3 linked regions of the Nothobranchius furzeri genome follow. The protein of the gene in region 3 interacts with the protein of the main gene of each other region in a biochemical or structural test. Links are inferred from orthologs where the notes say so. Each region holds a gene or a part of one and is shown on either strand. Other genes may lie near its edges.

Evidence for each region.
Region 1: of the proteins of limk2 (region 3) and rock1, one has a biochemical effect on the other in vitro, tested with the Homo sapiens proteins (2 studies listed by BioGRID). The link is inferred for Nothobranchius furzeri from reciprocal best matches to the Homo sapiens genes LIMK2 and ROCK1.
Region 2: the proteins of limk2 (region 3) and rps6ka1 interact in a test that uses a peptide from one of them, tested with the Homo sapiens proteins (2 studies listed by BioGRID and IntAct). The link is inferred for Nothobranchius furzeri from reciprocal best matches to the Homo sapiens genes LIMK2 and RPS6KA1.

Annotation. Positions count from the first base shown.
Region 1 is NC_091751.1:49,076,915-49,081,012, reverse strand, and holds the start of rock1 (rho-associated protein kinase 1), read right to left. Parts: upstream 2,927-4,098; 5' UTR 2,701-2,926; coding exon 2,608-2,700; intron 1-2,607. UniProt on the Homo sapiens protein: Protein kinase which is a key regulator of the actin cytoskeleton and cell polarity.
Region 2 is NC_091758.1:28,127,854-28,132,018, forward strand, and holds the start of rps6ka1 (ribosomal protein S6 kinase alpha-1), read right to left. Parts: upstream 2,816-4,165; 5' UTR 2,655-2,815; coding exon 2,478-2,654; intron 1,474-2,477; coding exon 1,357-1,473; intron 1,256-1,356; coding exon 1,174-1,255; intron 8-1,173; coding exon 1-7. UniProt on the Homo sapiens protein: Serine/threonine-protein kinase that acts downstream of ERK (MAPK1/ERK2 and MAPK3/ERK1) signaling and mediates mitogenic and stress-induced activation of the transcription factors CREB1, ETV1/ER81 and NR4A1/NUR77, regulates translation through RPS6 and EIF4B phosphorylation, and mediates cellular proliferation, survival, and differentiation by modulating mTOR signaling and repressing pro-apoptotic function of BAD and DAPK1.
Region 3 is NC_091757.1:45,937,362-45,941,011, reverse strand, and holds part of limk2 (LIM domain kinase 2), read right to left. Parts: intron 3,395-3,650; coding exon 3,338-3,394; intron 3,167-3,337; coding exon 3,101-3,166; intron 2,677-3,100; coding exon 2,502-2,676; intron 2,422-2,501; coding exon 2,366-2,421; intron 2,194-2,365; coding exon 2,036-2,193; intron 1-2,035. UniProt on the Homo sapiens protein: Serine/threonine-protein kinase that plays an essential role in the regulation of actin filament dynamics. Acts downstream of several Rho family GTPase signal transduction pathways.

The sequences.
Region 1 (4,098 bases), on a different chromosome or scaffold from region 3:
TACAGGCTAATTGTGTTCTTCACACCACAGATCAGGCAGATAAGGCTAATTTCAAGTCCAATTGAGCTACATTTCTAACAACAAGTGGCAGGAAGAGAAAGGTAGCCAAGTAAAGACTTACTTTGTGCATTCTGATGAAAACTATTACAGCCACTTGGCCACTTTATGAGTTGAACGTCCTGATTCACAGCCCTCAGAAACACGAGTCTTTACTCTTCAATTCACATAATTTTGGTTTATGGCAAGAAAGCAGAGCCCACACCCAACTGCCTCAGGGCTGCCTGCCTGTTCTCAACTCCCTCCAGACATGCAGAACGGGCTTTGGGACACGCAGGGAACTCCAGGCTGGTCAAAGACAAGAAGTTACTTGATTAGCGTGGAATTTTATTAAGCTGTGGGTGGAGTAGCATGGTGGCAGAAAGAGCCGGAGCAAAATGCCACCATTCATTGATCAGGAGAGATTGCAGGAAGGGGAGAGAAAAAAAAGATAAACAATCCCCTTGTGTGCGGCTGGGAGTAGGAACAGTTGCCACAGGTTTCTGCTAATAAACATGCCAAGCGTGTGGACTTTTAGGGGAGTTTAATAGCCTCTTTCTGCTAATTTGATGGGAGGTCACAGAAACTAAGCGTGTTTCCGTTTCAAAAGGCTTCTAGCTACAGCAACTTATTCATAACACAAACACTACGACCAGGGCACGTGGTGTTAAGACAAACCACATTCTCAAACAAATTACTACAATTGTATTTTTTATTAGAAATAAATAATTCGTACTACTCCAACTTTCATTTTAGCATTTAAACAATAATTTATAGCATGCTTGAATCCTAAAACTAAGATCCTGTAGTCAAAGACCTTTATTTTAATTTTAAAGCACCCACCAGTAACTAATCACACCAAACACAACAGCCCCTGGGAGTCATGTCGAGCTGAAACCTTGTGAAAACACGTAGTCCAACAATTTCTCAAATAATTGTGATAAACAACCCTCTGACACATGAACATTATCTTGGCATCCACTCCACAGTGAGTGCCCAAGACTGAAGTAATATAAATCAATAGAGGAACTTCCAGAGTGTTAACCCTCCCACTGTCCTAATGAGTGTGACCCCGCGAGGAGGAAAGTTGACCATTGAGCAGGGTTGATGGTTTATCCCTTTGGTCCATGTGGCAGGGGTGAGTAGTGAGAACCACCTCACCCCTGCCACGTGGACCTCAAGGGATAAACCATCAATCCTGTTCAATGGTCAACTTTCCTCACGGGGTCACCCATAAAGACAGTGGGAGGGTTAAGCATGTGGCAAAAGCATCCTTCCATCCTCCTGCAGAAGGGTTGCCAGCAATTAAGACAGGAAGCAGTAAGGTGAATCTTAGTGCAGCTGGAGGCCTGCAGGTTACAACAGGCTTGAAGCAACCTCATCACTTCATGTGAAGCTTGGATACTTATTTCCAAACTAATGATCCAAACAGCACCAAGAGATAACATAAATAAATGTAAATTGCGACAAGGACATATTAGTCCAGACCTGATGATGCAACTTGTTTGAACAACCCTAATCTTAAAATAGATGTGCAAAGTGTCTTTGTCTTAATGAAGCACAAAACAGCTCTCACTCTGTCAAAGTCAAATCTTTGGGTTGTTTTTTCATGCATTTACACTTTTATTGAGCCCTCTTATAAAGAGATTGGTACTAAGAATTTTTATAAAGAGAATAATTGTGCAGACTACAAATTCTTTCATCAAACTTTGATCCTGATTAGACACACAATGCAATACATAAACAAATACATAAACATAAACACTGACAAAACACTCACTCCCAGGGGTCCGAATCAAAGAATCTTAAACATATCCCGAAAAGAGACAAAAAGCAACCACTAAGTCAAATACTACAGAAAAAAAATTAAAATGACTAAAAATATACATAGACAGAATGAAATGGGTATGTACCAGATTTTATACAAATAATCCACAACAAAATAATTCAAATAAGAGACAATGAGACATAAGGAGGCTAAATCATCACTGAATAAGCTGATCCAAACCCATTGAGAATACAAAGAAATATTTGCAACCCAATAGCCAGAAAAAATAACCCTATTGATATTTTTCTTTAAAAAATATTTAAAATGAGCACTGATGAAAATTATTACATTTAAAGCACGTGGATGCATACATGAAGAAAAATATATTAAAAAGTACTAGTAACTATGAAAAATATGAACCCAACTCTACTTGTGTATCACTTGAATCCTGCACTCGTCATATCCAAGAGTACAGCAGTAAACTAAAGTCTACCTCTATTAATATCTGTGCAGTTGGATTTATTTTTAAGGTTTGTTTCCATGTTTGTCCTTTAGTCCGTTGTTTGTGACTAGGCTACTGTCTGAACACACATTTGACATTAACTTTAAAAATGTGTGCTGGTGTGTAAATATCTGAACCTGATAAGGTATGTGGAACAAACCGGACTAAGGGCGTAAATGTCAGCATTTCTTCAGTGACAACAGAGGCAAACTATTGGTGTCGGAAACAATTTATGTTCCAAGGAGTAGACTGACCCCGAGTAGCGTTAGCTACCTGGGTAGCTAACAAGCTAGAAACTTACCAGCAGACAATCCGTGTTAATTTCTGACTGAGGGTCTTCCAATATGGCATCGATTTTCTCAAATCGACTGTCGATACTTTCCACCGAAGACATTTTGCTGTGAAACTCAGTCCGGACGTTGCGTTATTTACGAACAAAAACAGCTCAGCGGCGAGGCGGCTACCTAGCTTGAGCTAGCCAAATGTTCCTTTCTTCGAGTGAACTTTGCACCTCCCTTCAAAGCAAAAACGTCGTTGTCCTCGACTTTTCGCAGACAAAGGTGTTGAGGTCGCAGTTAATGTTCCGCATTTTTGGAAACTAGAAGATGTTAGTTCCAGTATGAGTGGCAAACAACTTCAGTGTCAAAAGATAAATGTGGCGACAGATTAGACAACCTCCGGAGGATGCCGCTGAGGATAAAGGCTTAAAACGTTGGTGCATTCAACGAAAGGCAATTAAAAGGTAAATGCCATGTCTTCTAAAAAAATAAACAGTCTGTAGGAAGCACTAGTCCTGGCCCGTTTCCATGTCAGTAGTAGGCCCTTGCAGGAAAAAACCTGAGTCTGACAGCTCAAAAGTAGAAGTGGTGGGAAAAAAAACTTCTGCTTCTTCCAAATTTCGAAGTTTAAACACGGAGTCCCTTCAACGTTTCAGGTCCTTCCGTTGCGTCCGACTTACTGTCAATGTCTAAGTCTCGTCCACTCCGTTGTACGTCTTAAAGTAAATATAAATAATTAATTAAGTCCGATATGTATTACTTTTTGACAAACAATCGCATACTGTGCACAATTTTCTCTCAGCACGGCTTGGCCAACATGTCCGCCTTCCTGTTCAAACACCCAGGAGGAGCTGGTTGAAAATGTCACGTAGTGCGCATGCGCCCCGCTGAGTCGTGTTTAAAAAATTCGGAGGCAACTTTGCAAAACAATTCAGGAATGAGTTTTAAACATTTGTATTTGCTGTCCACACATGTGAAATTGTCATATTATATCAATGCATAATTCTTTAAAACCCTGACCTAATTTTTTATTTACATATATGAATATTACACACATGCTCTTATAAAAATGTAAGTAATTGTCTCTGATAAATAAGCTTAAATATGCCCCTCATACTCCGATAAAAATATTATTTTGTTACATTAATGTATTTATTCTTATGCAGAACAAACTAGTATGAGCTCTGAGGAAATGAAACGTATAAGATACAAAGAAAGACTATATGATAGTTTTCATTTTTAATAAATTTGGCCTAGAAAAGTCACATTGTGATAAATTATAGGTGATAAAATAAATAAAAAAATAAACAATTCATTGCCATTTTTATTTCTATCCTACCCTTGTATACTTTTACTTGATCTGGAGACAATGTCTTAAAAATATAAATGTGGAGAAAACGAATTTTTTAACGTTTATAATTTGTTTAATACACATTCAGATGATTTTTTAAACTAATGAAATGTTTTCTACAAGTTTTATGTGTGGACTTGTTGCCTTTTTTCCAATAGAGGGC
Region 2 (4,165 bases), on a different chromosome or scaffold from region 3:
TCTCTGACTGAAGGACAAGAGTAAAAAGTCAATGCATTTTTCTATAAATTCTTCATCTGTGTTATTTGAAAAGAAAATACAAGAGAAGATGGTTTGTTTCTTTTATTCTTTTAAAAAGAACCCATTTCCAATTAAGAAAATCAACAGAACTCAGAAATACGCTATGAAAAGTTTAGATAACTTCTTTTAAAGTTGCAGAAACATGTTTATCGTGTCTTGGTGACATTAACTCAAGCAATATTTTTTTTCCTGGAATTTGAAATAAAATGATTAAAAGATGTCTAGATTTGAAGACAGATGTAAAGTGAAAAAAAAAAACAATTTGTACTGGAAATTTATTCCTGTTAATCAAATAAAAACTACATGGATTAATTAATCTGTGGAAGAAAATATGTTCTATAAATTAAGTTAAAATGCTGCATGGTGGTGCAGTGGTTAGCACTGTTGCCTCGCAGCAAGAAGGTTGCAGGTTCGAAACTCGGCTGTGGCCTTTCTGCGTGGAGTTGCGTGTTCTCCCCATGCAAGTGTGGGTTTCCTCCGGGTACTCCGGTTTCCCCCACAGATCACAACATGCCCTACAAGTTAAGAATTGTATGTCGCTTTGGATAAAAGCGTCTGCCAAATAAATAAACATAAATAAAAAAATAAAAATAAACATAAAATGCATTCACACTCATTAATAAAATGAATAAGACACGCTTCTTAATTTTGATTATTTCTTTGCAGTTTTACTGTGAACACGAAGAAGCATTTCAGCCAGCACATTTTAATTAGAGTTTTGGTACATATTTGCTTCCATATTGTGAAAGAGAAAAAAAATGTTTTGCAAAAAGTGACTGATTAGAGCCGATGAAGATGTCTTAGTTGGCATTCACTTTTGATTTGCACGACCTAAGCTAACCACAACCCTCTGGGAGACCGTGTGAACAGTTTGCACGCCCTGTTGTTTGTTGAGAAGATGAGACCACATCATCTGACAACAACCCACAGAAAGCTGGGGTGGTCTTTGCTTACAGGTGACATTTTTTGGCAGATATGAAACTGAGACTAATAATCACTACAAAAATAAAAAAGATCACAGGAAACCTTCCAAAAAACACAAGAAAATAATAGTATTATTATTAATTTTCATCACCTTTATCAGTTATGGAGGGTTATTCCAAGTGTGTGTACCTTTAAGAGTGGCCTTCTTCAGGACCTTCATGGCATAAAGCTCGTTGGCATCTGGAGGGGTCACCTTCCGTACAAGGAACACCTGCAAAACAAAAACAACCCTTATGCTTCTGGAGAGCGACCGAATTAAACAACGAGAGAAAAATATTTAAAAGTTGGACAAAGCGAGCCTAGGTGTGTTACCTTTCCAAAAGACCCCTGACCCAAAACTTTGAGCAGCTCGAACTGCGAGGCGTCTGCCTTCTCCGAGCCCTCCTTGACCACGTGGGTGATGTTGATCTCCTTGATGTCTCCATCTTCCTACAGAGTGAAAGCACAAAGCAGGTGCGTGAGCTGTAAAAGTAATCTAAGATGGTCGATCTGCAAATAGAACATTTCTGAACAGATGCGTCTTTGGGCATAAATAGAACCGTTTATCAAAATAAAAGCACAGAGAAAGAGGAAGCGCAGTAAAAAGAGAAACTGGTGTGCAAATGTAAGAGATTATGTTCTTATAAATGAGATGCAATGCTATCGAGTTTCTGGAACTAATGGTGACAACGGAGTTAAATGGAATTACCGGAGAACTCTTAAAAAGGAACATGGGTCTAGCGTTTAGTTATTTTTGGTCAAGAGCTGTTAAAACCACAGATTTTGCTCTTTGATCAAGGACTTGTGCAGGTTTATCTCTGGGTGGAGTAACGTTTGCGCTGCTGAAAGCACATAAAAATACCGTCAAAAGATAAAACAAGTTCAGAACGCTTGAGTTTGATGTTTGCAGAGCAGGAAAATATAAATGATGACTCTGAAAAGCAGCAGTGAAAGAAGAAAAAGCACTTTTTCACTCCAATGAAAGGATCCAGCTTGGATTTTTTTAAAACAGATTACTGCACTCAATTTTTTACATTGATTTTAGTTAATGGTCACCAGAAGAGGAAGCACCTACTTCCAACTCATAAACCATAGATGTATTACTGGTAACAAACAAAGGTGGATCTTCTGATGCCCAGACGAGGGACTCATGATGGGGTTTTATTTTTTGTAGCTACTTTAGATTCAGGTTTTTGTGTAATCTTTAAAAAAATGTTACTTGTTAGATTTTAAAAACAACCACAAACCACTGAAGCCTGGATCTGTGTGACAACAGGAAACCAGCCTATCAGCTGCGCCTCGCTTCTGAACAAACATCAACAAAAACACCCTCATTTGCACTTTGCAGTGACAATGCATCTCATATTTCTTCACATAACCTAAAAAATTAGAAAACAACTCAAGTGGGAAAACGTGAAGAAGACAGACGTGAACTTGAGGAGGGATCACTTTACCGTCCACTGGTTCCTTGGTTCGGGTGAAATGTCACCGTCTGCTGCAGCTGAGGCTCTGCAGCCGTTACAGCGAGCGGGACTACCAGTCAGGGATTTGTTCTTTCTGAACAGGTAAAGGGACAGCACGCGGCTCAGCTTGAACTTTTTTTTGTCCTTTTCCATCTCAGCATTGTCCATGCTGTTTTACGCTCCTACCCGCATCCATCACAAGGCGACCGCCGCAGCAGCTCGCACAAATTCATCTCAGGCTCTCTTCAGTGCGAGCACGGCTCAGACTCTCTTGTGCTCCCATGTTAAAGTTGGTTCTGCAGGTGAAAGTCCACAGCATCTGCATTTTATCTACCGTCCTGTTTTTTAACAAAATGCATCTTCTTCTCTTCCATCGTGTCTCCTGTCATCCCTCCGTTTGTGTTGTTCTGGTTTGACCTGCGTGCCCTCTCTGCTGAAGTGAGCTACAGCTAGAATGAACAGGAAGGAAGAGCCTGCTCGTATTCTCGCAGTCCTGCGCCCAACTAGTGGAGCGCAAACACATCTGTGGCCGACACAGACAGAAACAGATAGAATTGCAAGAAAGCAAAAGAGGAGAGGAAAAAGTGTAAGAATAGCTGCCAATCAGACTGAAAAAGCAAAGCAAACACTTAGAAAATACCTCAAGAGCATGAAACTAAGATTGGGTAGGTAGTTTAACATTTTTAAACAAAACTAAAACAAAAATGTTTCAAACTGACTCTCTGACCTTTTCCCCTAATCTGGCCTTTCCAGTAGATGCGTAACAGAAGCGCTTTATCCGCAAACTCTCTTTCCACTGGAGACATGAAACGGTAGGTGGTCTCACAGACAAAAGGGGATTTATCTTTTGCGAACTGGAGATAAGTGATTAGCATGGCGTTCAACCTTACACCACATCGGTGTATTGTTTTAGCTGGTGGTTGTAGTGTTAGCAGGAGTGTGCTAGCATCGCGAGTGCTGGTATCCTACTGGTTTTAGATCTTAACCTACTTGAACTCTGCAGATTCATTTAAAGGGAGTGATTAGCAGTTCCTATAGAACCTGATGAAGGCTGAGGAGGTCATTTGGTAGCTAGAATCAGGTATATCTGAGCAGGAACACACCAAAACCATTACTTTTCCTTCAAAATGTTGTATGAGGCGTGCTTTTCAGCTCCTTCCAGAAGGGAAAGGTGGCGGGCGCTACAGTCGTTCCAATTTCAAAACCGTCTCTTCCTCTCCTTGATGACATCATGCTATGGAGCACAGCTTTAACTTTTGCCACAGTATAAACACAGGAGAGAGAGAGAGAGAGAGAGAGAGAGAGAGAGAGAGAGAGAGAGAGAGAGAGAGAGAGACAGAGACAGAGAGAGAGAGAGAGAGAGAGAGAGAGAGAGAGAGAGATGGAGCACGGATGAAGTGTCCACATTACCGTGACAATTCGGACAACTAACATTTTGGCTGGGTGACAGACAATTTCCTAATTGTGGAAAATCATGTGAACAGCTCCATTCCTGCTCACCTTGTCACCTGAGATGTCTCTATTTTCTTTCCCCTGCATCACTTTTTTTGCTCCTGATCCAATAATTCTGCAGCGAGTAAATCAGCTGTGGAAAAACCGAGCTCCCCAGCTCTGCACTGCAGTCTGAAAGCTGGACGCTTTTCTTTTTCCTGATTGGCAGATGAACAATCCAGAGGACA
Region 3 (3,650 bases):
GCAGCAGAGGCGTGTCTGAGGCTCAGGTGGCTTCTGAAAGTGTTTGTTTCCTCTAAGATGACCCAAAGGTTCAACAGAAGCCGACAAAACGCCACCACAAATAAAACGGAGTAAAACTATGTGTCCAACTGTGTGAAAAATAAAACAGAGCAAGGGAAACAAAACAGGGATTTTATGTTTTCTGAAATGTTTTAGTCTTTTGTCTTGTTCAGTGTTTGAGGGAAAAAAACCTAGAAAAGATACACCTCTAAGATCTGCTGAAATATTTCTAAATACATCCATAACGGGAACTGTTAGGCCTGTTTCCACCGTAAGAACATCCAGGTAACTTTACTGGACCTTCACGGCACGTGTCTTCTTTCCTAAAGGACCACTTTCCAGACCAAAAGAGTACCCGAACTGGGATTAGAACTCAGACACGGCCCAGCAGAGTCGCTCGGCAGGACTAGTGGTTAACTCATGCTGATTGGTTGTTACTCAGTAGGAGATGATATCAGCAGACGTCGCCAAACAACCGCCATGTGTAAGGATGGAAGAGTTGCTGATGAAGCAGAACGGAGGAAAAAGAAACTAAACAGCATTCAGACTGCTTTAAAAGAACTGTTTTTAAACTCCCAGAGCCAGGAAATGCAGCAGAAACACCACACGTTCATGGTGCTTTGTTATCTACTGCAGAGCACCGTAAAAACAGAGTTTCCTTTATTCACTGAACGCCACTTTTTACATCACAGAACCACTCTCTGTCCCCCAAATGGATTAAATTATGGTGTAGTTTCACAGAATAAAACTTTAAACCTCTTAGCATGCCAGCGCGCCGCCCATGGGACAAAACCCCATTGCATTCATTAAACCTGGAAATTTAAGGGGTTAATCTGACCTTGTTCTGACGGAGCAGCATACATGCAGTTTATGCAAATGCATGCACATTCGCATTCATTTAAACCTCTGCTATGTTCTGAGGAGCCGCCAGTTCAACATACAGCAAACTATGAGGAAATCTAGGGATGGACAACATATCGGCATCAAAATCGGTATCGGCTGATGTTAGTCAATTTTTAACATATCGGTATCGGTTCGATTAAAAAAAAAAAAACGGGCAGATATTGTCAACTGATATTTTTTCCATCTTGTCATCGTTTGTTTGCCTGTTTCAGAGGGTGGTGATGTGTATTTGTTAAGTCATGTCACAGTGATTGTAATCATCTCACAAGTGTAAGTGTGTGTGATGTGTGTACATAACCTAAATTCAGCTTTAATCATTTAATTCCATACAAAATCTGCTGATTTTAGAAGCATTAATGTCAGTATATCGATATCGGCAAATATCGGCTATAACAGTGTGATCTTAATATCAGATATCGGTATCGGCCCAAAAAATTTCCCATCGGTGCATCACTAAGTGAATCGTGTTTGTTTACCTATTAACAAAAATGAACTGATGAAGGCGCATCACAAATTTTTATTTCACCACCTTCTAATTAAAAAAACATTTAGAAAATAAAGCTTTAAAATGTAACAAACTGACAAGACACTATGTCATATGGTTGTTAAAAAAGTGTATGATTATCGGACTGGTTTAACCACCCATCAAGGTATCATATGGTTGTTCTTAAAGCGTATGATGATCTGATGGGTAAACTGACCCATCAAGGTGTCATACTGCTTAAAGAATGTATGATGATCTGTCAGCATATGGGTGCTGTCAGATAGGAATACGCTGTAATACGCTAACGCCAATCTGACAATGCATGGTGATTTGACAGAACATCACGAAATGCTGATGTCTAAGCAAAGTCCCGAAAGACAATTTTGTACGAGACAACAACTGACAGGATAGAGCTATCGTATTTTCCCCGTCACCTTCCCTGCTCCCAGAAATGTCCCGGGAACTCCTCTAGTGGAAACGTGGCTACTGTGATCAATATGACCGACTTTAAATCAAGACCTAAGGGAACAGTTAACTCTCTAATAACAGTTAAAGAAAAAGAGGATATGGTGTGAATTGTCCCTGATTAAAATGACAGCAGGAGCTCACCGGTTGTCTGGTGTGAGATCGCAGCAGGCCACGGCCAGAGGAAAGAACCCCGGAGGACAGTCTTCTGGGAGAAACTTCTCCACAAACTTTCCAACACTTAGACCAAAGTCCAGAGTTCTGGGGAGGCATTCGGGATCAGCGTAAACCTTCCCAATGATCTGATTCATGAAATAATAATTAATCAGAGATGAACTAAGGAAAGCAGTAGTAAGAATACATCAAGTACTTTACAAAAACACCCTAGATCTGTGAGGCAACAGGGTTTTGCTGACCAGATCTGACCCGTTTTCCAGACACAAAAACAGCTAAGAACCAAAGAAAAGGTCTCACCTCACAGAGGACGATCCCAAAGGAAAAAATGTCCACTTTTTCATCATAACTTTTGCCTGAAATGACAAAAATCGTAAAGCTTGTGCCCATTCTGAAACGTTTTCTTCCCCGTAAATAAAAACACTTTTCTCTTCACCATTCAGCATCTCAGGAGCCATCCAGTAAGGGTTTCCCACAACCGTGTACCGCTTCTTTCGGTCAATCCGTCTGAAAACTCTCTTCTTGGTGGACGGTTTTTCAGGGCGAGGCTTCACTTTCTCGTCTACGATGAGCCGAGAGAGTCCAAAGTCAGCAACAACAACGGTGTTGTCCTGGTGAAAGAGGACAGAAGATTAAACATCAGTCTTTTAACTTTCCATTTTTGGTTCTTTTTAAAACACAGATAAGGTTCTTCTTTACCCTGCTGACGTTTCGTTTGTGGCTGCAAACATCTTCAGAGCTGACGCTGATGGTGGCGTCACTTCCTACTCCGTTTATCTGTGGGCAGCAGAGGGCGACAACGACGCCACCATCAGCGCCAGCTCTGAAGATGTTTGCAGCCACAAACGAAACGTCAGCAAGGTAAAGAAAAACCTTATCTGTGTTTAAAAAAGAACCAAAAATGGAATTTGAAGACAAACACAGCAAGAATGTACAAAAGAAGTCTTTTAAAATGTTTATTTTAAAATGTTGAGCTTGTTTATAGTTTCCACCTTTTTACTTTTATTAGTTCCTGTAATAGAAAACACTACCCACCAGTTTAACCAGGCAGTTGTGAGAGTTTAGGTCCCTGTGGATGATGTTCATTGAATGAAGGTAGGCCTAGAGAGAAAAAAGAAGACAGATTTTGTAAAAGTGACACACTTCCATTAAATAAGACTAATAACATCAATAAATACAGATATAAATTCTGTTTGTTAGAAATGGTTCATCAGACATTTCCACAAATGTGACAAACGTTTTGTTTACAGCAAAGACAAGAAGCTAACTCACCATGCCAGAGGCAATGCTCTTAGCAAAGCTCACCCTTTGTTCCCATGGAAACTCATCCTGTAGGTCAAGAAAGAAAACAACATCAACAAAAGCTCTTTGGATGTCATAAAATCATTATCTTAATTTGGGAATAGACGCTAACACAGCTAGCTTATTTCTTCTAGTAAAAATGTTTAAAATAATGGCGTTACTAAACAAAAAAGTTTCTTCAGTAACGAGTAATCTAATTACAGTTTTCTTTTATCAAAAGGTCCTTTCTGTCACTGATAAGAAAAACGTGCGTTACTAATTCAGCAGTGTTGAAGCGGTCATC